Linked DNA regions of Mus musculus. The protein of the gene in region 2 interacts with the protein of the main gene of each other region in a pairwise test. Links are inferred from orthologs where the notes say so. Each region holds a gene or a part of one and is shown on either strand. Other genes may lie near its edges.

Region 1 (4,294 bases), on a different chromosome or scaffold from region 2:
ATGCCAACATCAAAATCAGACAGTCTCACTAGCCAACTATATCAACAGGCCGATATTTATTATGTCCATAAATAAATAAATAAATAAATAAATAAATAAAAGAGTGTGGCTAGAGAAATGGCTCGGTGATTAAGAGCTCATACTGGTCTTGCAGAGGACTCCAGTTCAATTTCCAACATCCACGTTGGGCAGCAGCTCACAACTACTGGTAAACACAGCTTTAGGAGACTCAGTGTCTCTGGCTTCTATGAGCGTTTGTACCCAGAGGCAGAGACACATACCAATACATAATTAAAAATAAGTGGGACGTGGTGTGTATGCCTCCAGCATTTGAGAGGCAGAAGCAGGTGGATCTCTTGTGAGTTTGAGGCCTGCCTGCTTTACGTAGTGAGTTCTAAAATAGTCAGACCAATGTACAGAGATTAAATTAATTTAAAAAAAAATCCAAATCACAACAACAGTAAATAACTAAAACCTATACGAAAGAAGCCGAATAGCTCTCCCTTTCTCCCTCTCTGCTATCCAGTATCTAGAGATACCAGTGATCCTTTTCTAAACTAAAACAATAGCAGGTGTTCAAGGCCATAATCTCAAAGCTGAATGCAGATAGACAGGCACTGGCACAGCCACTAATCTCAAGGATACAGAGCTAGGTGGATCTGACTACCAGGACAGCCATGACTGCAAAGTGAAACCCTGACTTAAAACACAAAATGAAGCAAGCAGGGCGTGGTGGCGCACGCCTTTAATCCCAGCACTCCGGAGGCAGAGGCAGGCGGATTTCTGAGTTCGAGGTTGTTACAACCATCTGTAACAAAGTAGGGGCTATAGTTTGGGGCTATAGTTTCCTAACTTCCACATGAAGAAAAGGCCACAGGTTGCAGAGTCTGACCTTCTCAGGCACCAAGTGCACACAAGGTGCACATGTGTATTTCCAGAGAAAGCACTCACATATAAAATAAAAACAAATACAATCTTCTAAAAGAAACCAAAAATACACACAACCCAAAACAACCATTACCACCATGGGGTTGGGAGGCAGGGTCTGGAAAGATAACTAACAAAGGTCAGAAAGGAACACACAATATACGGTTCAGTAGTAAGTGCTCTGTGCTAGGTCCAAGGTTCAGTACCCATCAGAACCACATACATGCAATAAATAAATAAATAAAAATAAGGGAAGGTGGAAAAAAAGAACAAACAAACCAAAAATAGCAATAGCATACAACTGAAATTCCAAGCTTGGAAAGCAGAGACAGGAGGATCATGAGTACAAGACCATCAGTTCTAAGACATTTCACTATGTAAGAAAAAAAGGACCAAGCCAAGTCAGATGTGGTCCTCTGTTATAGTGCATATAATCCTAGCACATAGACGACCACATAGACGACGAAGGCACAGTGGTCAGAGGCCAAAGTTAGCCTGGGCTATAGGAGATCCTGTGCCCACCTCCCGGAAAGACATTAAGTAATTCTTGGTAGGGCCAAATTAACTATCACATGTACCTACAGACAAAAGTCTATGTGGCTTTTTAAATATCTGCTTTAAAAACCACAAAAATGACCTCCTCATGGTGGTTGTCTCAAAGAATTATGCAGTGGCCACAGTGCACTAAGGTCAGGAGGCTCAAACCATGCCTCAGCTATTGACAAGTCTACTTCACAGTGGATGAAAGCAGGTTTCCTTAATCTTATAAAAATAGTACCAAGCTGTGAACACTCTGTTTAAAAAAAAAAAAAAAAAACCCACACCAAACTTGTCTGAGGTCCCTGTGACACACCATTCTTGTCCAAGGTGCCCCCTGTGTTGTGTCTGGTCCCAAAGGCCAGAGTCATGTCTGTCTCTTTGGGCTGGGGTCTGCACAGAACAGGTATAGATCCCTCCTCTCTACTTTCCTCTTCACTGAGTTCTGTCAAAGTGAAGACAGACTCCAAATCGGCCTCACTCAACAGTAACCACATCCCCTCACTCAATAGGTACATCAGATGTCCTATCCAGTAAGGGACAAAAGAGTCAATGACAAGAAAATCAGGCGCATCCTTCTACAAAGTACTGGTGTCTCACCTGGGCCCCCACAATAAAAGTCCGAGTCTGAGAGTCCAGGGTCTTCACCAGTACCTCCAGGCTGTCAGGCTCCTCCATAGCGGTACTGGCACTATCACTCGGCTCCATGGCCGACAGCTCTCTAAAGAAGAACGAGGGGGGGGGGTTCGCTGTCGGTCGCACTGTATTTTATACACCCGGAAGCCTCTCTGGACCCAATCTCCGCCCCAATCCCTTCAAAGTTTCTCATACACAAGCAGATATATTCATCCTCCTTCTCATCCCCCCTTTTTGATTCGGGGGCACAGGAACAGAAACACAAAGGGTAGGAGATCGACGGCATAGGGAGATGAAGGACGAGAGGTGGGAGGGGCTCCACCATGCCAATCACAATAGGGAGAGCCAGTTGGGCTAGGAATCAGGGAAGCAAGCACGAGACCGACCAGAGGCCAGTGTCATCACCGGTCGCGACCGAGCAAGCGCCCGAGAGATCGGGAAATCCTAGGACAACGCGAGGGGTGGGGGGAGGGTCGCGCTAGACTCGGCAGAGAAAAGTGGCTTCGCGCACGCGCAGCACCACAATCGAACCCGCCTAAATCACCACCGACCCAAGACCGCGGACACTCACGGGAGGCTGGACGGGCTCGCTGACCGCCCCCGCCTTCCGCCTCCGCCTCTCCTCGGTATTCCAGCAACACGACTTAACCAACACGCGACCAAACACATACAAACACACATACACAGCCCACCACCCTGTGGCTCCGCCCCCGACGTCCCCACGGTACCGTCACTTCCGGTCTCCCCCAACCTGGCACCAAGGGCCACTTCCGTTTCCCCGATCGTATTTGGGGGGATCTCGAGGCGGTACTTCCGGCTCCCCCAGTCTCCCCCGATTTACTTTCGTGGGGCACGATGAGAAAGTCCACAGCCCCGAACAGTGAGTTTCTGGGGGGCGAGACGGGCCCGGGCCGGCCGAGATGGGAGGGAGCCGACCACCCGGAGGAGCCGCCGCCGCCGCCGTCGTCGCCCGGGGGACCGCACTGCGCCTGCGTGAGCGGCGCCACGCGTGCGCACACTCTAAGTACTTCCCCGCCCCCCTCCGGCTATGTGCGTTTCTTCCCTGCGCGCGCCAGAGTGCAACCGGACCGGGGTGGCTACTGGAAACGCCTAAAGAAAAATGACTGAGTGAGATGCTGTAATTTCCTCGAGAAAAATTGTGAGACTTGTGTGGAGTGCACCTCGTTAATCAACGTCCCATCTTGATGGTCAGAGACGTTTACAGGCACAATTCTAACTACCTAAAACTCTGCAAGACCTCTGGTCCTCCCATCATTTCTGTTCTTCCGGAAGCCACTCTTTTTCGTGGACGGCTGGTGGCGTTCCGCGGGCTGTGTTTGCTTGTGCCCGACTCTAGTTCCTGGCGGGATTAGGCCGGTTGGGCTCTTTGCAGACTTTGAGCATCCTGTTTATTGAGATCTCCGAGGGAGTGCCATGTTTAAGGATAAAAAAAAATTCTATTGCATTTTTTGGTTTTGAGACATTTCTGCTGCTTTTTAAGAGCTTTGTAGAAAAAAAGAAAGAAAAGAGAACGGGTGCCTTGCGGATCAGATTAAAGGACAAGACTTTAAGAAGGGACCAAGGGAATGGAGAGATGGCTCAAGAGATGAAGAGCACTGTCTGCTCTTCCAGAGGTCCTGAGTTCAATTCCCAGCAACTACATGGTGGCTCACAACCATCCGTAATGAGATCTGACACCCTCTTCTGGTGTGTCTGAAGACAGCGACAGTGTACTCACATACATAAAATAAATAAATCTTTAAAAAAGGAAAAGAAAAGCCGGGCGTGGTGGTGCACACCTTTAATCCCAGCACTTGGGAGGCAGAGGCAGGCGGATTTCTGAGTTCGAGGCCAGCCTGGTCTACAAAGTGAGTTCAAGGACAGCCAGGGCTACACAGAGAAACCCTGTCTCAAAAACAAACAAATAAAATAAAATAAATAAAATAAAATAAAATAAAATAGAAAAGAAAAGAAGGAAGAAAAAGAAAGGGGATTGAAAGGCCCACCGCCAAGGGAGTTGAACGGTTAAGTTTTTCTCTCTCTGCATTCTTCCCCACTTATTCTTAGATGCCAGTACTGATGAGACTTCCAGTAAGCATTGTATGATGAGACTTTTACATGCTGTCTCACTGTTACCCTGAATTGCCTGGAACTCATAAGGACAATGTTCCCCCCACCACCACCCAGTGCAGGG
Region 2 (3,964 bases):
CACAAATACAGAGCACTTTTGACCCTGGCACCACCACAATCTGGCCAACACCGACCCCAGTAAAGGTTACCTCTTCTTTCTCCAAACTTAACATTCTATATCTTTGGATTCAACCCAGTAAAGAGCAAAATATTAAAAACTAAAGAACTGATTTTGAACATGTGCAGATTTTTATCATTTTTCCTAGTGAATACTATCTTAGCGTTATTACGCTGTGATAAAACATCGTGACCAAAAAGCAACCTGGGAGGAAAGGGTTATTTGTCTTACATATCCTGAGTCACAGTCTAGTGACTGGAACAGAGATGGGAACTAATATTCCAGGAGATAAGGTAGGGATGATGCTACAGGGTCAGGGTAGCTTACTGACTTGCTCCTCATGGCTTGCTCAATTTCCTTCTCTCTCTCTCTTGCTCAATTTCCTTTTCTTTCTTTTCTTCCTTCCTTCCTTTCTACTTTCTTTTCTTTGTTTTGATTTTGGTTTTTTTCTTTTTGAGACAGGGTTTCTCTGTGTAGTCCTGGCTGTCCTGGAACTTACTCTGTAGACCAGGCTGGCTTGGAACAGAGATCTGATTCCCTTTGCCTTCCAAGAGCTGGGGCTAAAGGTGTGCATCACCACCAATCAGCTAGCTCAGTCTACTTTCTTACAGAGGCCTGCAGTCCATGAATGGCACAGTGAGAGAAGCCCCTCCCGACCAATCACTAATTTAAAAAATGCCCTACCAGCTTAACTGCTTGCAGCCCAATCTTCTGCAGGCATTATCTTAATCAAGGCTCTCTCCTCTCAGATGACCATAGCTTTTGTCACAGATATAAAACTAGCCAACACAAATACAGTAAATAACTGTACTGTTTTAGATGTGATAAGTAATCCAGAACTTGTCTTGATAGGGTATGTAAGTGGTATATGCAAATACTATGCATTTAACTCTACATGACTTCAGAGCCAGGTGTGGTGGTATATGCAAGCCAAGCATTCAGGAGACAAAGGTAGATTTCTGCAAGTTGGAGCTCACCCTGGTCTACATAATGAGCTCCAGGCCAGCCAGGGCTCCATAAAGAGACTTTTGTTTCAAAGAAACAAAGTAAACAAAGAAGACCAGCACACTCAGATTTTGGTATCTATGTTTTGTTTTGTTTTTGTTTTTGTTTTTTTTTTTTGAGACAAGGTTTCTCTGGGTAGCCCCAGCTATCCTGAATCTTACTCTGTAGACTGGGCTGGCCTTGAACTCACAGAGATCCACCTGCCTCAGATTCTCCCTGGGATTTTCCTCCTCAGAACACTTTCTAGGGGATGCAATGAAGGTGCTTATGAAAACTGTCCTTTGAGGATGCAAAACTTTCTAAAATGAACCAAAGAAAAAAGAAACTATTCATCTAAAGTCTACAATCCTAATTTCCTAAGATTAAAACTGAGATTCTACATTGTCATCTTTTGTTCAGTAGCTCCTTCAAAAGGACTCTGGACACTCCCCCCCCCCCCCAAACTCTGCAACATGTATTTAACCAAAAACTGAGACAACTTGCTAAAGTAAATGCTTTTTGTTTTTAAAAGGTTTGCTTAAGCTAACATAGTTTCAAACTATGAGATGCAAGAAACTGGGGATTTGCTGAATTCTCAGGAGCTGAAGATTATGAAGATTTCCTAGTGTTCTAGCACAAGGCCCAGCCTGTGATTAAACTTTAAGATTTGTTTCATAAATGACAGTAACCTCAGGGCTGCAACTTTCCTCCTAGCACAAAGCCTGACCATATATTCACCATTCAAAAACTACACATTCTAGAACAGCTAATATGTAAATAGAGGGGTTCCATTCTAAATCATTCTAGAAGGAAGAAAAAAGGCAATGAGAGAGAGAGAGAGAGAGAGAGAGAGAGAGAGAGAGAGAGAGAGAGAGAGAGAGAGAGAAAGGAGTTCTCCCCTAAGAACACCAAGCTTACCATCAAGTATTAGGGAGACCTAGGTAGGCAAGGAGTTAGATATGCGGTAATCATGGAAGCTGCAACAGTATCTTGGTAGCTGTGTCTCCCGGTTAAGCAGGGACTACACTAAGGTTCCCATGGTCAAAATCTGTAAAACTGTATTTGGGATGTTCCACCAAGGCAAACGATACTTAACAAATTGCCAAAACCGCGTTAAAGGGTCTGCATTCTCAAAAGGCACTGGCTTCATTACAATGTGTTGGAGTTTCCAAATCTCCCACCCCATACCTTGCTTTTTTTTTTTTTTTTCAAGATTGCTGGGGATAAATGCCTTACAAGAGGAGGTGAAGACCACTATAATTTGGGAGGGAAAGGGAATTATCTTACCTTCATGCATGAATATACCTTACACCTCACTAATATTCTTAAGAAACTTCTTTAAAACCCCAATGCGCTACTGCCTACCTTCGGAGGAAGCCCACTCCAATCTTTGGAGTGTGTAGCTTTACTAAATAAACGTCCCCTTACTGTTTCTCAGCTGAATTCTTTCCTCCCAGGTTAAACCTTCTCCCGGGGCAGGCGGCAGCTGCTCCGGAGAAGCCGAGAAGGCAGCGCTATGCCTGCAGCGCCCCAGCTCATCTCCTACCGACCCGGGCTGGGGGGGGTACCCGGGTTGGGGGAAGGCCGCGCCCCCGGCTGAGGGCAGAGGGAAAGGCCGTGTGTCAGGGCCGCGCTCACTCACCAGGGCTCCTGGGCCGTCCGAGCCGAGGTGCTAGGCGCCGGGCTCCCAGGCGGCTGAGCAGCCGGAGCGCCGCCGCTGCCGCCCGGACCAGCCGCTGCGGAGCAGTCTCCGTGGTAAACTCCAGTCTCGGAGTACGGCGACCGCGCGGCATGATGACGTCACGCCACGGGAGGGGCGGGCCTCTCCTGGGTTACGTCACCTTAGGAGGCCGAGCCAAGAAGTCCTGCTTACCTGAGAGCTCAGAAAAAGAGACCTGAGAGTGGGTAGACGGGTGGGTGGGGAGTGCCGCGTGTGACAGTGCGCTGGAGGCCAGAAGGACCCAAGACTGGCGGTCCCCACGCGGTATGGCAGGCGCTAGGCTGCGTTCCTGCCACACTCGGGAGACCCACGGGGTTTCAGAGTTCTCTAGGTCGGTTTCTGAAGAATCAGGCTCCGCTTCACCATAGGGAGGACTTTCCCATCCCGGATAACCACAGGGTCCTAAATGTGCCTGTCACCATGAGGCGATTGCTTCCTTCACTCCAAGGAAAAGGAACTTGTGGATTGACTGAGCCACCAGAAATGGGTCGCAGTAGGGGAAACTGCAAAGACCCTTCTCAAAGAAGACGCCACAGCCATCTCCTCTCCTCTGACTCACCATGGTCGTTCATTAGTGCTGCGGTTCTTAGGACGTTTGCTTTTCGTTGATTTTGACTTTTTGCCTTTGGCTGAGAAGGGAAAGATGTTTCTTGTTCCAGTATAGATGAATGACTAATTGGATTATCCAGTTTTCCTTTGCACGGCGTTTGGTTCTTAGGGATAGTAAAGTGTAGTCAAGAGGGCAGCGTCTTCGTTTTACATAGTGTTTTCTTCGTGTCATAGCTTCTTGATCCCAAACTGTTCCTGACATTTAAATATGGTGGACAGAGTGCAGAATTGATAGAAAATGTTGAGGGCACTCTGGAAATAGTTGTTAAAATGATCAATGTAGATCTATTTTGTCTAGGTTTTGTAGTGTAGTCATCAGACTTCAGGGCAGGAATGCTTCCCCACCAAATCTGGACCCAGAACTACTACAGCAGATGAACTTAAGGTAGCTAGAACAGAAGCTAACGATCTTGGGCACCAGGCACATACATGGTGCTCATGTATACATGTAGGCAAACCATTTATGCACATAAAATCTTAAAATTACAAAACATATCTACTGGTTCTCCTGGTCTTCTCTGGCTACTTCTGCTTTTATATATGCATTTCCCCTAGTAACATCTTTGCCCTTTTTCTTTCATCTAGGCAAATGCTTTCCTGATGAGCAGAAAA
Region 3 (3,500 bases), on a different chromosome or scaffold from region 2:
AGTTGTGTTTGTGCACCTGGGCCGACGTCATATTTTGCGTGTGTGCATAGGAACGTACTCTGGTAGGTTTTTGTAATGTTCCCATGGGCTTGTGAGTATGCCGACTTGGCCTGCTTTGGGGATTCAGGCTCAGTACGGCGGGATCAAGGAAGGGGTGAGAGTCATCAGAGCCATCCACAGGTGGGGCACTCACAATGTGGGACCACGGTGACCTCCTGCGAATCTCCACCCATGGAGTTCTGCAGCATGCAGCGTACGGACAGTGGCTGATCCACGTGGCGCAGGCGCAGTGTGCTCACCACCTCGTATTCCTGATCTTCCTCCCAGAAAGTCACATTCGTTTCTAGCTGGCTCTCCTCCTTGGAACTATTCCCCAAGGGTGTGGGTGACAGTTTTCGTGGACACCTACTAGGAAACACAAAAGGACTGGCTTGCAGGCTCTCTTAATTTCCCCTCTGCAAATGAGGGAAAGTAAGACTTGAAGCAGGGTCCAAAGAATAGGCTTGATTTCCCAGTGCTTGCTCCTTAAGCAGGTTCCTACTGTGCTGCCTAGATCAACCAGCAGAGGGCGCTCCCACTCTAGAACTGAGACTCCTAAACGGCAAAATTTGCCTATTGGACCTTCAAGGATAGAAAGGCAAACCCTGAACTCTATACACTATATTACATCTAGCTCTGGTCAAAGGTACAAAACATTCACTGGGTGAATTAGACACCTCTGGGAGCCAGACCCTGCTCCTTCCTGGGTTGAGGATGGCTCAGTAAGAAAAGGAGAAATTTAGGTTAGTCACGGTATCTCCCGGAAGGCAGAGGACTGGTCTAAGATGTGGCTTAGACCTCTCAGGTGCAGAGGCCGGTCTAGATTACCCTACCTGTGCATTCTAGGCAGCTGTGTCTATTGTGGGAGGCTTGGCGTCAAGGTGTGCTCACCTTTTGAGGTCTCTGCAGGTAGACCAGGTGACATTTGGCTGAGGCATGCCCCGGCCACGACAGCGGATTGTCTGCTCCCCATTGGCAGGGTGACTCTCACTCAGCTCCAGCACACGGACGGGGACTGGACAATCAGAGAGCAGGATCAGGAAGTGAGGTGATCAGAACAGAGCACTGGAAAGGCTGTCAGGAGGATGCCCTCCAGAGTGTCCTGTCCTCTTTGTCCTGACCTCCCTCCCCCCAGGCAGGGGATGGCAGGTGAGCCTCAGACACTAGGAGTCCCAGTGTGAAAGTGACAGGTTCCTTTGGGGCACATCAAAGGGCAAGGCTCAGAGTCAGTCTTTAACATCCCTCTGAGAACTGCTCTTCAAAGAGAGAACAGGCCAGGAGCCGGGGCAGCCAAGCCCATGAAGCTAGGCACTGTTTTGTTTTCTCTGAATGTATTTGAGTGTTTTTTATATTTATGGCATATGACACTGAGTTTCCATCTACAATTGAGATGCTAAATTTGTCTTTCAAAATACATTTATTTTTAGAAAGCGAATTGACAAAACATTAAGTGGTTATCATGTCCTTCTCTGCTCCAGTCCCTGTCATAGCCCTTCCTGTCAGTCCCAACAGAAGCCAAAGCCGCCTTGTATGGAGCTGTAGTCTATACCGAGCCACAAGCTCTTACCCAACGACTACCCCCTCCAACCCCTCCATTTCTGCCCTAACCTCATGCCCCCCCATATATGCCAGCGCCCTCTGATCTGGCCACACCCAACTTCCTCCTATTTCTCTGGCAATGTGACAAGGGGTGACACATGATCTGGAGTGTCCTTTCCACTAATACCCACTTGTCCAATGCCCTCCCTCCTTCAAGTCTCACAAATGTCACCTGCAGAACAAGGCTAACCCTGATCATCTATCTATCTATCTATCTATCTATCATCTATCTATAATTTATCTATTATCTATCCATCATCAGTCTATTATCTATCATCTTTGTATCTATCATTTACCTATCATCTTTCTATCATCTATCTATCAATCATCTATCTATTATCTATCTATCAATCATCTACATCCCCAGAGAGGGGATGTGCCAGATCAACTGCCTATCATTTAACTTATCTATTACCTATCTATTTATCTATCATCTATCTTATCTATCTATCTATCTATCTATCTATCCATCTATCTCCTTCCCCACCCACTACAGTTTCATGTTACTTTCTAACCTTTCTTCGTTTTCTGTGGAAACTCCTCCTTTTCTATTTCTCTTCCCCTATGAGGATGCAAATCATAGCAGGTAGAACTCTGAACAGACTGCCATATTGAAACCACTCAGCAGAGTAGAGATTGTGTGTGAGAAGTAAAATTGTACCATCAATACATAAATGGCCCAGATTTGGGGGCGCTCCAGTACAGTCTGACAGTCACCTTCTACATCTGGGGAAACTGAGGCCCAGAGAGGGAACATGCCAGATCAACCGTCTAAAATGTAGCCTCGTGGGTTCCGGGCCCTTTGTCCAGCCTCCCCTGTGGGTGGATGGGCAGAGAAGGAAGGAAGAGAGATGGAGGAGGGAGGGAGGGGAGAGAGGGAAAGGGAGGTGGCCCTTACCATTGACCTGCAGCTTGAAGGAGAGCTGGACCTCATCGTCCTCGTGGAAGGCTCGCATAGTATAGTAGCCCGCTTCTGACACCTTCACACGTACCAGGATCAGTTCTGACACGTACCTGCGGAGCAGGCCAGGCCAGGGGACCTGCGATCAGAACTGCAGGAACCCCTAAAGCATCCTCGCCTTCCTGTAGAATGCCAAGGGGAGGGATACCCTTGCCAAGGTCACGCAGCAAGGTCGCGCAAGGGATAACAGCAGAGTCAGGATCCACTCAGTCTCCTGAGTCCTCAGCCACGGCCAGTTCCCCTAAACTACCAGGAAGGCTTGGGAAGGGCCAGGGTGTATACCCATCTCTCAAAAGCTTATCCCCATCAGAGGGGCACATTCTTGCCTGTCTGCAGATCTCTAGCCTTGGGGAAATCCTCTTCCTATCCGGTGTTTTTGCTTTTGGCCATTACCTGCTGGTTCTGTTCATCACAAGGTTAACTAAACCTCTGAGTGGCCAAGTCGTCAGTGTCTGCTACCCCCACTAGGAGGAGCAGAGCAGCCTGCGTTGCTCCTGCAGGAGCATCATACCTAGTACCTGGCATGTGTCCATCACACAACAGGCTCTCAGACAAGAAGGTCCTAGGTTTGTTGGTGACTGAAGGCCCCAGGCTGCCTGGCAGCTTTGAAGCTTCCAACATAAGTGGACTAACTGGTGCTCACCGGGTCTCAGACATGTTGCGAGTAGACAAAACTAACTCGCCAGCGCCGGAGTCACCCAAGGTACGGTTGTCCTTGAGCCACAGGACAGAAGGCATCGGATAAGCCTCGAACACCACCCGCAGCGTCCGACTCCGGTGCAGCTCAGCAATTTCTACATCTCCCAGTGTCTCCAGCAGCCGCACGTAGCCATTCTCTGCGGAAGGTACAACAGTTAGGGGCGGGCCCTGTGGGCGGAGTTATGCCCAGACACCAATGCAT
Region 4 (3,933 bases), on a different chromosome or scaffold from region 2:
ATTGCCTTCCAACCAAGTTTCCACACCTAGCTAGGACCAGGAAAGTGGAGCAGGGTGTGGGAGGCTGCTGCTACCTTAATCATCCCTCCTTGTTTGTTTTAAGGAATGACAAACTAGCCAGGTGGTGGCGCACGCCTTTAAACCCAGAGGCAGAGGCCGGCGGATTTCTTGAGTTCAAGGCCAACCTGGTCTACAAAGTGAGTTCCAGGACAGCCAGGGCTATACAGAGAAACCCTGTGTTGAAAAAAAAAAAAAAAAAAAAAAAAAAAAAAGAATGACAAACTAGAATCTCTCTGCACCTCAGGGAGGGTAGGAACGGCCACCGTGTGGGCCATGCTGTATTTCTAAGTCCCACTAGGGGAAAAAGTGGGGAAGATGGCAGAGACAGACAGATGGCTGGAGAAATCCCATCCCAGGATCCACACAGACATACCTCCATCAACTACCGTAAAAAAAAAAAAAATGTTTTTAGACTCTCGGGGTACTCTCCCTGGTTAGTGTCTCATTTCCTTCCCTACTCCCCACATGTCTACCTAAGACCCAGACTCAGGAACTAGAGCCCAGATCCACGGAGCAAACAAACACGGGCATAAAGTCTATTCGAAGCCTCAAGTTTCAGACTGAGGTCTTCCTGAGTCCTCAGGGGAACTCCCCCCCTCACTAATGGGTTCCTGTGGAAGGACTGTACTGGTCTTGTGAAGGAAAATCCCCTTTCACCCCAGGCTTTGCTGGAGGCTGAGTCACAGAAGGCTCGTCCAGGGAATTAACTCAGTACCAGGGAATACTGAAGGAGATAAAGAAAATCCAGGAACTAAGGGCCATATGACCACTCAGTAAACTATTATGCTTTGTCACTGTGCTTTGTCACTCTTTTGACATTTAGACAACCTCAGTGGGTGTGTCCAATTTACCAAAGGATACACCCGGGGTGGGTGAGGGAAGTTACTGGGAAAGAGTTAGGTAAAGAAGGTCGAGGGCTTTTGGCACAGAAATCCTCCCCGCACCCCTTCACTTTTCCTTGGCAGATGGGAGTGATCTGATGCCTCAATATTACTAAACTCCTTTCAGGAGGATCCCCTTACTTAAAGGAAAAACCATCTACATCTGCTAAAGCGACAAGGTTGCGGGCTACCGCTCCCACACACCATCGCCTGTGCCCACAAACCGTGAAAGTCCTTCCCCAACTCCTGATCACCCCTGGTCCCTCTGAACGGAGCTCCTTCCCCAGCCAGGCTCCAGATGACACTGACCTTCCCGTGCTTGTGATGCTTGTGCGACTTCTTATGAGCTTTCTTCATTTTCTTCCGAGTCTTCTTGTCTATCACGATTCCGGGACCCACCATGCCAGGAGCCGGAGGATTCACGGGGCACATGCCAGGAGCAGGTGGTGGGTATGGGGGAGGGTAGGGACCTGAGGGTTGGTATCCTGGACACCCTGGTTGTGGTACAGGATAAGGGGGACGACACGGAGGGAAAGCTGGGTTTCCCTGGGGAATTCCGGGAGGACAGGGGCCAGGGGGAAAGGCAGGATTGAGAGGTGGTGGACAGGCAGGATTGGAACCTCCTGGGCACACAACTTGGGGTGGATATGGATTCGGTCCTGGAAGAAGAATCCGAGAATAAAGATTAGAACTGTCCGGAACCTCTATCAACACATAATACAAATCACTACCGTTCTTAAGCCTTATGGAAAGGCAGAACTTGGTAACTAGCAGTGGTCCGGTGGCTTTGCTTTTGCTTGGGGCTGCGGGGATAGATAGAAACTTCCTGTTTCATTGCAAAATGGGCTGGGGCAGGTCAGAGGAGAGCCCCCAGGAACTTACCAGCATTAGGATTCCACATGTCGAGATGTTAGCTCAAGCCTAGGAAGTAAACCAGGCAAAGTCTGAAGGTTCCAGGAAGGGAGGAGGATTTTCGAGAACCCGAGCCCCACCCTACAGCCTCCACCCTACCAAGACTCTCACAGATAAACCTCCACTTAAAAATGGGCTGCACTCTGGAAACAGAGGCAGGTGGATCTCTGAGTTCCAGACCAGCCTGGTCGAAAAAGAGTTACAGGACAGCTAGAGCTACCCTGTGTCAAACCCAAAACAAAAGGAAATGAAAAAAAGTTCCCTGCTGGGCGTGGGGGTGCACACCTTTAATACCAGCACTTGGGAGGCAGAGGCAGGCGAATGAGGCCAGCCTGGTCTACAAAGTAAGTTCCAGGACAGCTGGAGCTATACAGAGAAACCCTGTCTCGAAATAACAAAAACAAACAAACAAACAAAAACAAAACAAAAAAAAAAGTTCCCTTTTTCTTTCCCGCATCCTCATAGCCTACTCTAGCCCAGGATTTAAATCACAGGAACTCTCTTCCCAGGGCCCCTCCCACTTTCACTATCTCACCTGGATGGAGAAGTCTCATTTCCCTCTCCCTGGAAAGGGACCGGAGGCCTTTAAGCATCCGTAGTGTGAGATGGGACCTAAACTCCCTGCTCGCCCCGGGGGCACCCCTGAAGTGAAGCTAAAATAAACAAATAAATAAAAATAAATAAATAAACAAACAAATAATCCCATCCTGAATATCAAGAAAGACACTCCAGGTCCCAAAACTCTTAGAACACACACACAACCCCCAAAGAGCAAATGGAGTTCTTAGTTCTCAGGAATAAATGGATCCCTGGCCCAGCTAAGAGGAGAGATGGAATTTGGGAGGCCAGATGCCCTGTCACCTTCCCAGATCGCCAGCCCGCTCCTGTCCTCCTTCTCAGTCTGGGTTCGCACTTCCTGGTCACTCCTATTCATTCTATACTTCCGCACCGCCCCTGTGACCTAGTTAATAATTATGTGATCACTTTGACACGATGATTGGAGAACTGACTTGTCAATCGCTGTGGTCCAACTAAACAAGGAGGAAACCGTTGCGCTGGCCGCCAGGCGGAGCCTTAGGGAGAAAACATTGCGTTGTGAAATACATACAGGTGAAATACGGAGACGCAGCGGAAATGCTCCTTAGGGCGGGACCGAGGCGGGGTCAGCTCCAAGCAAGGACCTGAGCCAACGAGATAAACTCTCACTGTTTTTTTTTGTTGTTGTTTTGCTTAAATTTTAAGATTTTTTTTTTTAATGTGTATGAGTGTTTTGCCTCAGTGTATGTGCACCAAGTGCCTGCTTGATGGGTAGACTTGTCTGTAACCTAGCATTTTGGAAATGGAGGAAGAGAATCAGAATTTAAAGACAATATTAGCTTCTTAGGGAACCCTACATAAAACCTCAGAGAGAGCTCTGTCATGATGGCACAACACCTTTAGTCCCTGAACTCAGGAGGCAGAGGCAGGTGAATCTCTGAGTTTGAAACCAGCATGGTCTGCATAGTGAGTTCCAAGACAGCCAGAGCCACACAGACCAGCCCTGTCTCTGACTCGGAAAATAACAACAAAAACAAACAAACAAAAAAAGGCCTCAGAGAACAAAAGGAGGAAGTTCTGCTGAGTCCCAGCCCTGGGCTTCAATGTTGCCAGCTGCTAGAACCACAGCCTGTGGTTCTTTTTTTGTAGAAAGATAAGAGACAGGGTTTCAATGTGTTCAGCAGATGGTGCAGTTATAGTTTCATGTCATTGTTCTGGGTAACTAAGTGAATTCATTTTTGGTTTTGATGTTTTTGAGACAATCTACCAGTATGACTTGGGTTGACTTTGGATGAAAAGCAGTCATCCCATATCTCTCTCTCTCTCTCTCTCTCTCTCTCTCTCTCTCTCTCTCGGGTGCTAGAAAAACAAAAGCAAGCCACAACTCTCAGAATTTTTTTTTTTTGGTTTTTCGAGACAGAGTTTCTCTGTATAGCCCTGGCTGTCCTGGAACTCACTTTGTAGACCAGGCTGGCCTCGAACTCAGAAATCCACCTGCCTCTGCCTCCCGAGTGCTAGGGTTAAAGGTGTGGGCCACCAAGCC
Region 5 (3,500 bases), on a different chromosome or scaffold from region 2:
ATGTCACTGTGGATGGAGAGGTGGAAATCATCTAGGCCTGGGGGAAGGGGCAGAGTAGTGAGACAAAGAGGCACTGTGGAGTTGGGAAAACAGGAGTGGCATCCTAGTTCTCCCACTCAACAGTGACAAGCCCAGTGTCAGCTCCTTGAACAGTTTTCCCTCCTGTAAAAGTGAATAGATTAGTGCCTTCACAAGGACACATGAGAATAACTCAATGACTTCATGCAGCTACCTAAGCACATGCACGACAGGAAAACCGAGGGGTTCCTCCATGCCACACAGTACCACTGAGTTAGAGCCTCTTGTCAAGCCCCAGAGAAGTCTGGCGAAGGATATACTGGTAGCCCCATTGTATGAGAGGAAACTGAGGCTCTGTGGGCGCTCACCGTACATTAAGAAGCAAACCATGTTCAGGGAGGCTGAGTGCCCTCTGGGGAAGGGCTGTGGAGTGAGGTCTCTGGAATGAGTAGAGCCCCCTCAAAGGCTCTCCCCGATGCACAAGCGGGTCCTCATCAATCCTCCCACCTGGCCTTGTCTGCCGGGTCCGAGGGACAGGCTTGGATACTCACGCTCTGTATCAGGGATGGAGCTGGTGATGGAGGAGCTGGTAGAGGTGATGGTGCTTAAGGAGGGGCTCATGCCATAGGCGGGGAAGGTGCCTGTCATGGCTGCCGTGTGAGAGACCCAGGCTGCAGGGTCAATGGGACGGATGGGCTCGCCTGCAGGGAGGGTGAGGAGTCACAGGCCGCCCATCCACGTAAGGAGAAGAGAGAAGGCGTAGAGCTTACACAGCCCACACCGACTTTACGGATGAGCCCTGTTTACTTACTCCGGGGTAATGTGAAGCAGCCGCGAGGACTTGGGTCCCAGCACTTGGCTACAGTCAGAGTGATGGGCCTGAAAACAAGGTTGTCCTCATAAAGGCAGGATGTATGAAGGCCAGACCAAGTCTCCGGCCAGAGACGCCTTTGCCCACCTTCCCTAGAACCCCATCCACTCATACCCTGGCTTGTGCACAATCTCCCGAAGGACTCGGACTGCGTCATCGTTGCTCATGTTCTCGAAGTTGATCTCATTTACCTGAGAAAGAGGGCTAGGAGTGAGGAAATGGAGTGCTCAGGAGATGGACAGGGGAGCTGGGTTGAGGGTTTCCCTCCAGACCACAGGAACTCCTTACTCTCCTCCCACCCAGGGTAGTCGACGATACCTGCAGTAGCATATCTCCTGGCTCAATGCGTCCATCAGCTGCCACAGCCCCACCCTTCATGATGGAGCCAATGTAGATGCCCCCATCACCTCGCTCATTGCTTTGGCCCACAATGGAGATGCCCAAGAAGTTATACTTTTCTGCAGGGAATAATTTAACACCTTGAGAAGGGTGGGGTTCCTACCCAAATTCCCAGCCCCTTGTTAGTACAGGGCAGAAAGGGGCAATAACTGACTGATATCACTGACCACATAAACATTACTGTACAGTGTACACGTTGACATGCTTTTAATTTCCCTACTGGTTGTGAGGCAGAGATTCTGAACACTTTACACATAGGTAAGACCTAAGCGACCTTTCTAAGACAGCAAGCAGCAGGAAGTAAACTCAGATTTAAGTTCCAAGTTAAAGTTCTTCCAGTTATATTTAGCTGCCTTTACATTTTTTAAAACCACATTCTTTTTTTTTTTTTTTTTTGGGTTTATTTTTTTTTCAAGACAGGGTTTCTCTGTGTAGCCCTGACTGTCCTGGAACTCACTCTGTAAACCAGGCTGGCCTTGAACTCAGAAATCCGCCTGCCTCTGCCTTCCAAGTGCTGGGATTAAAGGCGTGCGCCACCACCGCCCGGCTAAAATCACATTCTTATCTATTTGTTTTGTTGTAGAAGGCACTCATGTGTGTGTGTGTCTCTGTCTCTGTCTCTCTGTGTGTGTGTGTGTTTGTGTGTGTATAGTTCAGGGGGCAACTAGTAGGAGTCAACTTCTCCTTTTACCATGCAGGTTCTAGGGGTTGAACTCCAGTCATCAGGCTGGGTGGCAGGCCCACCTGCTGAGCCATCTTACCAGGCACTAGCTGTGTTTTAAAAAGTCAGAAGTCAGAGAGTACAGATGTATGTAATGGCAAGGTGAGCAGGGACTCCTCCCCCAGGAAGCCTCCCAGGGTGCCATGCTCTGTTCTCACAGTTTGGTTTACCTGTTACAGCTCTGACTCTGAAATACTGAAATGGTTACATGATGTCTCAGTCAGTATTTACAGAGCATAACTGCAGAAGAGGAAACATATCTTTTTCTCCCTGTATTGCATATGGAACCCAGAGCCTTGTACTATACTGCTGAGCTCCCACTCCAAACCCCAGAACACGTATGTTGTCTTTCCCAGCATGGGCATTTGGCAGTGTCCCCCAGACTCACCCATGTTGAGAGTGACGGTGATGATGTTGAGAGACATAGTGGAGTCTGTGATGCTGCTGAAAGACGAGGACTGGAAGAGAGGGTGTCTGTGAGCAGCAGGGGGTACAGGGGGTGGGGAGGAGGGGTCCCACAAACACTGAACCGAGCAGAAGGGCTCTGAAGAAGAAAAGAGCTGTGGTCCTGCCTAGGAAGGACTCACAGTCTAACCTCCTGCTCAGTCCCTGAACATCCGAGAGCCCATACCCGCTCAATCCGGGAGACCTTCTGCTTCCGCCGCCGCCGCTTGTGTCTTCTCATGAGGCGTGAGGCACTGCTCTGTTCTGTGGAGCTGCTGAACCTGTGGGGTCCAAAGTCGTTCCCCACCAGGCTGGCCCATCCTTGCCTCATAAAAGGCACAGTAGAGCCCTGGTCCCCTCACAATGGCCACATCCCACCAGCGGTGAAGAACCAGCTGCCTCATTGGTCACTTCCCGCCTCACTCCCATCCCTGTACCTAGGAAAATCAAACCCCACCTGCTGGTGGAATCATCCTCATCGGAATCAAAGAAACTGGTAGTCTCCAGCTCGCTGCTCATGAGGGTAGATGAACTGTCATAGCCGCCTGGCTCCCGTCGCCGCTCACCCTTTGTGGTTCCATTGAGTCGGGCTGCTGCAAGGGAGATAGGCAGCTGGGTCCATACAAGGCTCAATGCAGGGAACAAGGGATATGAGGCAGGCAAGCCAGGGCCTGAACAGGGCCCAGGCATAGCCATAACTCGGGAAGTAGGGTAAAGAGGCGGGAAGCTAGCTGGAATCTGCCGAGAGGAGCTGGAAGTGGGCATACACACCGTGCTCCGGGCCATCCCTCCGTCGGGGCCGCTCTCGTTGGGCAGACACCAAGGAGTCGGTCTCCGTGTCATTGTCCAGATTCTCCTGGCTGCCCCCACTAGCATGAGGGCTAAAGGGTAGAGAGGACTTGGTGGAGAAGAGAGAAGGCTGGGGGCTCCCTTCCCCAGCCCTGGGTTGAACTGAGCTGCCCTTTGCTCATGGGCCATTCCCACCTTCAAGACACACTTACTGGAAGGAGGGGGGTCGAGAGTCCCCAATGCCTCCTGTGCGTTCCA
Region 6 (3,500 bases), on a different chromosome or scaffold from region 2:
GACTCACCTGACCTTTCTCCTTGCTCTCTGCCCTCTCACCTCAGTGTCAATCGGAGGTCACGGGCTAGGTAAGCTGCTTGCTGGGGCCACTCCCAATGCCCCTACTGCCCAGAGAGGCAGTTTCCTTTCCTCTTCATTGCTAATTCATTCCCAGGACAGTTCCAGCTGCAGCTCTAGGCAAGGACAGAGTTGGGGAGGCTGTGAAGACAAGGCCGTGGGCTGGAGGGTCAGGGCCCAGGGAGGTTTCTGGAGCTAAGCATGAGCGCTCTGGTTCTCCCCTCTCTGGGCCTCCATTTCCCCATCTGAGAACTTGGGTTGCAGCTGAGAGCTTTGGGGTGAAGTATATCCTAGGAGGCACCTCAATGGGGATTTTGGGGTCTGGGGATCTTGGCACCCCAGGGAAGCACCTGGGGATGGGCAGCAGGTGCTTCCTTCTCACAAGGGCTCCTGTATGGGCTCCTGCATGGGCTCAGGGGACAAGGTGGTTTCCTCCACCCACTGGGAGTCTAGCCCTTGTCAGATCCACAGACTTCCATCCCCGCCTCCCAGGGGCCTCTGTGTCCTGGGCTGGGGGAGGTGCATGAGTGGGTGGGGCTGGGTGGTGGTACAGTAGTGCCAGTGTCAACTGCTTGGGTGGCCAGCATGGCAGGGCCTGGCCCAGCCTCAGAGCTCCAAAGTGCATTCTGCGACCAATCTTTTTTCCTTCTTTCTTCCCATTCCCCCAGCAATGATGTTAGACAGTCCCTATCAGGCAGGTTTGTCTGCCCTAAGACAAAGACATCCTAGGAATACTGATATGAGACTACAACTACTTGCAGACTTCTGAAGGCTATCAGACAGGCATTTGGGTAGATGGCCAAGGACAGGATTTAAGATAGCTAGGTTTTTGTGGCAAAGGCTAGATTATTTTGTAGAATAGTTTATGGGGTTGAAGATGGCATATATGTGTACACAGGGGAGGACAGAATTAGGCCAGGAACTTGGAGTGGCCTCAATTTTCTTGGCCATTATGTGTGGAATGGAGTCAGGGCGCCCAGCCAGGGAACTTAAATCATCTTTGGGTAAGCCAGAAGGTTGTCTTGGGCCCGGTCAGTGGCTATTGGGACATTAAGCAGTAGCCCAATTAGCAGGTGTACTTTGAGGATGCTATGGTCAAGACTTGCTGATCACCTGGAGCTTGGGTACAGAAATGAGAAATCAAGAAGCTTTCAGAAGGCCCAAATCATTAGCTAGATGATACAGGGCAGGCATAAAGGAAGTTCATGGCAGCATGGGCAGCAGGCAACTAGGGTAATAGCTGAAGTTGCTATCTGAGTCTCATGTAGCCAGTGTGAGACCAAGGTCGAAAAGGGGGCTTGGTGGCAGGCTGGCAAGGGGGCCCCTTAAACTTGGTCCTCATATAAGTTTGGTGTTCCTAGCTGCTTTCCTTGTGGGAGGCTGGGCTGCAGGGGTGCTCTGGCTGCCAGGCCTTACAATCCACAGCTCCCAAGCCTCCACAGCTGAGCCCCAGATCATAACATTACTGTCCTTTCTCTTTTCTTGGGCACTATGGGGCCCTAGAGGCTGCTCAGATGCTCTACCCTTGCAACCCTGCAGTGGTGGCTTGGGACTCCTGTCTCCTGTTCCTTGGGTGCTGCCACTGCTTTGCCAAGCCTGCTGTGATGCACTGCTAACCCTTCTACTTCCCTGCTGCTTGCTCTTGCCTGTGCCAGGCTGTGCTATGCTGCCTCTCATTGCAAGCCTCTGGTTGAGCAAGCGTTCTCAGTTGTCAGGAGACTCCAGTTTCACCTTCAGGCCTCGGGGTTGGGTAGGGAGGAAAGTTTCACATCCCCCACACTGCAGCAGGACTCTGCCTCACTTCATCCACACATAGCACTGGGGCCCAGGGCCAGACCACGGGTGTAGGTAGCCATGGGCCTGGCCAGAGTGCCGGTATAAGTTAGCATAGGCCATGATACCAGCTGAGGCTGAGTTGGCAGAGGAGGTAGCAGTAAATGCTTGTGCTGGGATTGGATGGTCCCTTACTTGTCTTCCCAGGTATCTGGGTACCACTTGTTGGTCTTCTCTCATAAAGGGGCTTGAGGTGGTCAGGAGAATCCTTCCTGCCTTCTGAGAAACCACTCACCATCGTAGCTTGGGGTATGGGTTGGGCTAGAGATTGGGGCTGGCTGTGCTTGGTTGTAGCAGTAAGAGGCCTGGATGGGTAGCAAGCTGATGGGGGTAGCCAAAATGTTCGGCTCACCTGCTGGCTCCCCTCTGGGGATTCACTCTGCTTTACCAGGTGCTGGCATTGGCCCCACCATCCAGATTGGGGAGGAGACGGTGATTACTGTGGACACAAAAGCAGCAGGCAAAGGCAAAGTGACTTGTACTGTGTGCACACCTGATGGCTCAGAGGTAGACGTGGACGTGGTGGAGAATGAGGATGGCACCTTTGACATCTTCTACACAGCTCCCCAACCGGGCAAATATGTCATCTGTGTGCGCTTCGGTGGCGAGCATGTGCCCAACAGCCCCTTCCAAGTTACAGTGAGAAGAGGCCAAGGATGGGTGGGCAGGGAGATCTGGGAAAGTCCTAGCCTGTCCTTCCAGGTCCCTTTGTGACAACAGTCTCCAACCCTCTCACTTTGCCCCACAGGCTTTGGCTGGGGACCAACCAACAGTGCAGACCCCATTAAGGTCTCAGCAGCTGGCTCCACAGTATAACTATCCTCAGGGTAGCCAGCAAACCTGGGTAAGGCCTGGGCCTGGTCTATTATTCAATTTGTCTAACCCATAGGGACACTTGAAGCTGGCCACCTGGATGTCTCATGTGGCCCTGAGAAACCCCATATCTTCTCATAGCCCCTCACCTGATTCTTCTGTCTCTATTGCAGATTCCAGAGAGGCCCATGGTGGGCGTTAATGGGCTGGATGTGACCAGCCTGAGGCCCTTTGATCTTGTCATCCCCTTCACTATCAAGAAGGGGGAGATCACTGGTGAGTGAGGGCTAGGAAGAAACTTGGAAACTAGTGATGGCCAGGGTGTTCCAATCTCCTGGCCTGACATTGAAACCACTGCTCTGTAGGGGAAGTTCGAATGCCCTCAGGCAAGGTGGCCCAGCCTTCCATTACTGATAACAAAGATGGCACTGTTACTGTACGTTACTCACCCAGTGAAGCTGGCCTGCATGAAATGGACATTCGCTATGACAATATGCATATCCCAGGTGGGTGTATTGCCTCTTGTCCACTCCATCCTAGGCCCGTGTTGCTATCATCTCAGGAAGAACAGGCTAGGGCTGGGTTATAGGTCAGTTAGTAGAGCCTAGCATGCATCAGGCTCTGAATAAACTAGGTATCATGGCACATGCCTGTAATCATAGCCCTCGAGGCAGGAGGATCAGTGGTTCAAGGTCATCCTTAGCTTCATAGTAAGTTCAAAGCCAGCCAGAGAAACATAAAGACCCTGTTTCAAAAACAGAACCAAAATGACTAACAAATGAATGAGTCTGGTATTC
Region 7 (2,064 bases), on a different chromosome or scaffold from region 2:
TGCACTATGCATGCATGGAGCATGAGTATGTGTGTGTGAATGTATGTATGTCTTTGTGAGAGTATACATTTGTATGTTAATGTCTATATGTGTGTGTGTGTGTGTGTGTGTCTGTGTGTGTGTGTTGGCATGCATTCCACAATGGATGTGTGGAGGTCAGAGGTTAACCTGTGGGAACTGGTTCTCTCAACATGTCGGTCCTTGGGATCGAACTCCACTTATGAGGCTTGCTTGGGAGCAAACTCCTTTACCCACTGAGTCATCTCATTAGTTCAGGACCTGCATCTTTAAAAGAACTATTCAGTACACCAAGCTGAGAAGAGTGTCAAACCCAGTCGGGGCAGCAGGTGGCAGAGCTACCCTAGCAGCGACAATCACCAGAGAAATCTCACCTAGGAGCTTGGGAGATGCTGGAGTCTGTAGCAACCCTGTGGGTCACCTCAGCCACTGTGTCAATAAAAGAAGACAAAGGAGTCAGCTCCAGAGGAATGACACCTGAGGTTGTACTCTGGCCTACACACACACACACACACACACACACACACACACACACACACACATTTGCATGCACATTTCCACACACACATGCACATATACACACATACACATAAACAAAAACAGTAATAACGAAACCCACCAAAAAGACCAAATGATTTTAAGAAGGAAGGGGAGGTGTGAAAGAGGAGGGCAAAATCAAACCCTGGTGGCTGTGAGCATCTTTGTGTCTTGGTTTCCAGCCGCATGGCATGTTGACAATTAGATTAAATGGCAGGATGGTTGTGGGGCCAGAGAAAGTCGTAAGTACCACAAAAGCGGTTTTCCATGACTGCGACCTTTGTCGCTTATTACATCGGCTCATTGTGGTCCTGCTCTCGATTGTGACCATAACAGCATCTCTCTGACCTTCTCACAGAAGCAGGTGGCAGGAGAAGGAAGCCAAGCTCAGAAGGACAGTCACTCGTGTCCTGAGGTGTGATGTGACCAAGACACCCCCGCTGGGGTCAGCTCAGGTGCCTCTGGCTGACTGCGTGCTGACCTTTCTGGCCATGGAGTGTGCCTGCCCTGATATAGATACCTACCGGGCAGCCTTGCGCAGACTGGCCGGCCTGCTGAAACCAGGAGGGCACCTGGTGACCCTGGTTACTCTGCGCTTCCAGCACTATATGGTGGGCCCCAAGAAGTTCTCTGGGGTCTACCTAGAGAAGGAGGTGGTGGAGAAGGCTATTCAAGATGCTGGCTGTCAGGTGCTGAAGTGCAACTGCGTCTCCCTCAGCTACTCGGAGGCTTACTGCTCCCACGACGGTTTGTGCTTTGTGGTGGCCCGGAAGGGTCCCAGTGCCTGAGGCCACTGGCAGCGAATCGCCTTCCCTGGGAAAGTTATAGCAATCATTTGTAAAGCCTTGCTCCACAGCTTTCTAACACGGACCATGTTGCTTCTATCTAATACCTGGTCACAGTCACAAGGGAAAACCCAAGGTTCTCTATTTTCAGCACCAACATCCATCCCCTTTGCTCTTATTGTACCCTGTTGAAAGTTCATTTTAAAATAAAGTGGCCTATCTGGATTCTGTCTTGGGATGCCTTCTCTCAACAAAAGACAAGGGTTTGGCTGACAAACATTTATCTAAGAGCAGGTGCTATGAACACAAATGCTGGCACAGGACAGAGGCCAGGAGAAAGGCTGGTGCTCTGTGTACTGCAAAGCCCTTCCCTCTGAGGCAGCTGGAGCTGGGGCCAATGTTGGGGCCCGCAGGTGGTGTCACCTACCTACTGAGGGAGCTAGCCATGCCTACTAGCTTCCCTCACAGTGGCCAGAGGCAGCTCTTGAGGGTCTCTTGTCTCAGCAGCTTCAGCAGACTTGCAGGTGCCAACCACAGTCAGTCTGGTCACCATGCCCTGGTTCAGAACAGGGATGTCAATGTGTGCAATGTGCTAGCTGGGGTGGAGAGCTTCCGGGTTCCTTGACCCTTCTGTGGGAGGCCTGGGGGACTGTTCAAGTGACCCAGAAGTATTGTATTTTCTGGCTAAGGAAAAGTGCTTGCTTCTGTTTTCAATGGTTATTTA

What was found.
Region 1: the proteins of Klhl12 (region 2) and Bag6 interact in binary tests that used the Homo sapiens proteins (3 or more experiments, as listed by UniProt). The two-hybrid records come from large-scale screens. The link is inferred for Mus musculus from reciprocal best matches to the Homo sapiens genes KLHL12 and BAG6.
Region 3: the proteins of Klhl12 (region 2) and Pdgfrb interact in binary tests that used the Homo sapiens proteins (3 or more experiments, as listed by UniProt). The two-hybrid records come from large-scale screens. The link is inferred for Mus musculus from reciprocal best matches to the Homo sapiens genes KLHL12 and PDGFRB.
Region 4: the proteins of Klhl12 (region 2) and Prr13 interact in binary tests that used the Homo sapiens proteins (3 or more experiments, as listed by UniProt). The two-hybrid records come from large-scale screens. The link is inferred for Mus musculus from reciprocal best matches to the Homo sapiens genes KLHL12 and PRR13.
Region 5: the proteins of Klhl12 (region 2) and Dvl3 interact in binary tests that used the Homo sapiens proteins (3 or more experiments, as listed by UniProt). The two-hybrid records come from large-scale screens. The link is inferred for Mus musculus from reciprocal best matches to the Homo sapiens genes KLHL12 and DVL3.
Region 6: the proteins of Klhl12 (region 2) and Flna interact in binary tests that used the Homo sapiens proteins (3 or more experiments, as listed by UniProt). The two-hybrid records come from large-scale screens. The link is inferred for Mus musculus from reciprocal best matches to the Homo sapiens genes KLHL12 and FLNA.
Region 7: the proteins of Klhl12 (region 2) and Inmt interact in binary tests that used the Homo sapiens proteins (3 or more experiments, as listed by UniProt). The two-hybrid records come from large-scale screens. The link is inferred for Mus musculus from reciprocal best matches to the Homo sapiens genes KLHL12 and INMT.

The regions. Positions count from the first base shown.
Region 1 is NC_000083.6:35,134,006-35,138,299, reverse strand, and holds the start of Bag6 (large proline-rich protein BAG6), read right to left. Parts: upstream 2,801-4,294; 5' UTR 2,782-2,800; coding exon of another isoform or gene 2,672-2,781; intron 2,653-2,671; exon of another isoform or gene 2,296-2,652; intron 2,186-2,295; coding exon of another isoform or gene 2,173-2,185; coding exon 2,065-2,172; intron 1-2,064. UniProt on the Homo sapiens protein: ATP-independent molecular chaperone preventing the aggregation of misfolded and hydrophobic patches-containing proteins.
Region 2 is NC_000067.6:134,454,367-134,458,330, reverse strand, and holds the start of Klhl12 (kelch-like protein 12), read right to left. Parts: upstream 2,801-3,964; 5' UTR 2,666-2,800; intron 1-2,665. UniProt on the Homo sapiens protein: Substrate-specific adapter of a BCR (BTB-CUL3-RBX1) E3 ubiquitin ligase complex that acts as a negative regulator of Wnt signaling pathway and ER-Golgi transport.
Region 3 is NC_000084.6:61,065,650-61,069,149, reverse strand, and holds part of Pdgfrb (platelet-derived growth factor receptor beta isoform 2 precursor), read right to left. Parts: intron 3,436-3,500; coding exon 3,243-3,435; intron 2,653-3,242; coding exon 2,537-2,652; intron 1,055-2,536; coding exon 931-1,054; intron 409-930; coding exon of another isoform or gene 406-408; coding exon 194-405; intron 1-193. UniProt on the Homo sapiens protein: Tyrosine-protein kinase that acts as a cell-surface receptor for homodimeric PDGFB and PDGFD and for heterodimers formed by PDGFA and PDGFB, and plays an essential role in the regulation of embryonic development, cell proliferation, survival, differentiation, chemotaxis and migration.
Region 4 is NC_000081.6:102,458,037-102,461,969, reverse strand, and holds the start of Prr13 (proline-rich protein 13), read right to left. Parts: upstream 2,801-3,933; 5' UTR 2,715-2,800; intron 2,507-2,714; exon of another isoform or gene 2,389-2,506; intron 1,863-2,388; 5' UTR 1,843-1,862; coding exon 1,824-1,842; intron 1,601-1,823; coding exon 1,251-1,600; intron 1-1,250. UniProt on the Homo sapiens protein: Negatively regulates TSP1 expression at the level of transcription. This down-regulation was shown to reduce taxane-induced apoptosis.
Region 5 is NC_000082.6:20,523,486-20,526,985, reverse strand, and holds part of Dvl3 (segment polarity protein dishevelled homolog DVL-3), read right to left. Parts: coding exon 3,455-3,500; intron 3,335-3,454; coding exon 3,225-3,334; intron 3,047-3,224; coding exon 2,911-3,046; intron 2,735-2,910; coding exon 2,641-2,734; intron 2,468-2,640; coding exon 2,398-2,467; intron 1,348-2,397; coding exon 1,208-1,347; intron 1,081-1,207; coding exon 1,004-1,080; intron 898-1,003; coding exon 830-897; intron 720-829; coding exon 570-719; intron 38-569; coding exon 1-37. UniProt on the Homo sapiens protein: Involved in the signal transduction pathway mediated by multiple Wnt genes.
Region 6 is NC_000086.7:74,229,535-74,233,034, reverse strand, and holds part of Flna (filamin-A), read left to right. Parts: intron 1-44; coding exon of another isoform or gene 45-68; intron 69-2,281; coding exon 2,282-2,529; intron 2,530-2,638; coding exon 2,639-2,734; intron 2,735-2,876; coding exon 2,877-2,979; intron 2,980-3,068; coding exon 3,069-3,209; intron 3,210-3,500. UniProt on the Homo sapiens protein: Promotes orthogonal branching of actin filaments and links actin filaments to membrane glycoproteins. Anchors various transmembrane proteins to the actin cytoskeleton and serves as a scaffold for a wide range of cytoplasmic signaling proteins.
Region 7 is NC_000072.6:55,170,127-55,172,190, reverse strand, and holds the end of Inmt (indolethylamine N-methyltransferase), read left to right. Parts: intron 1-913; coding exon 914-1,343; 3' UTR 1,344-1,564; downstream 1,565-2,064. UniProt on the Homo sapiens protein: Functions as a thioether S-methyltransferase and is active with a variety of thioethers and the corresponding selenium and tellurium compounds, including 3-methylthiopropionaldehyde, dimethyl selenide, dimethyl telluride, 2-methylthioethylamine, 2-methylthioethanol, methyl-n-propyl sulfide and diethyl sulfide.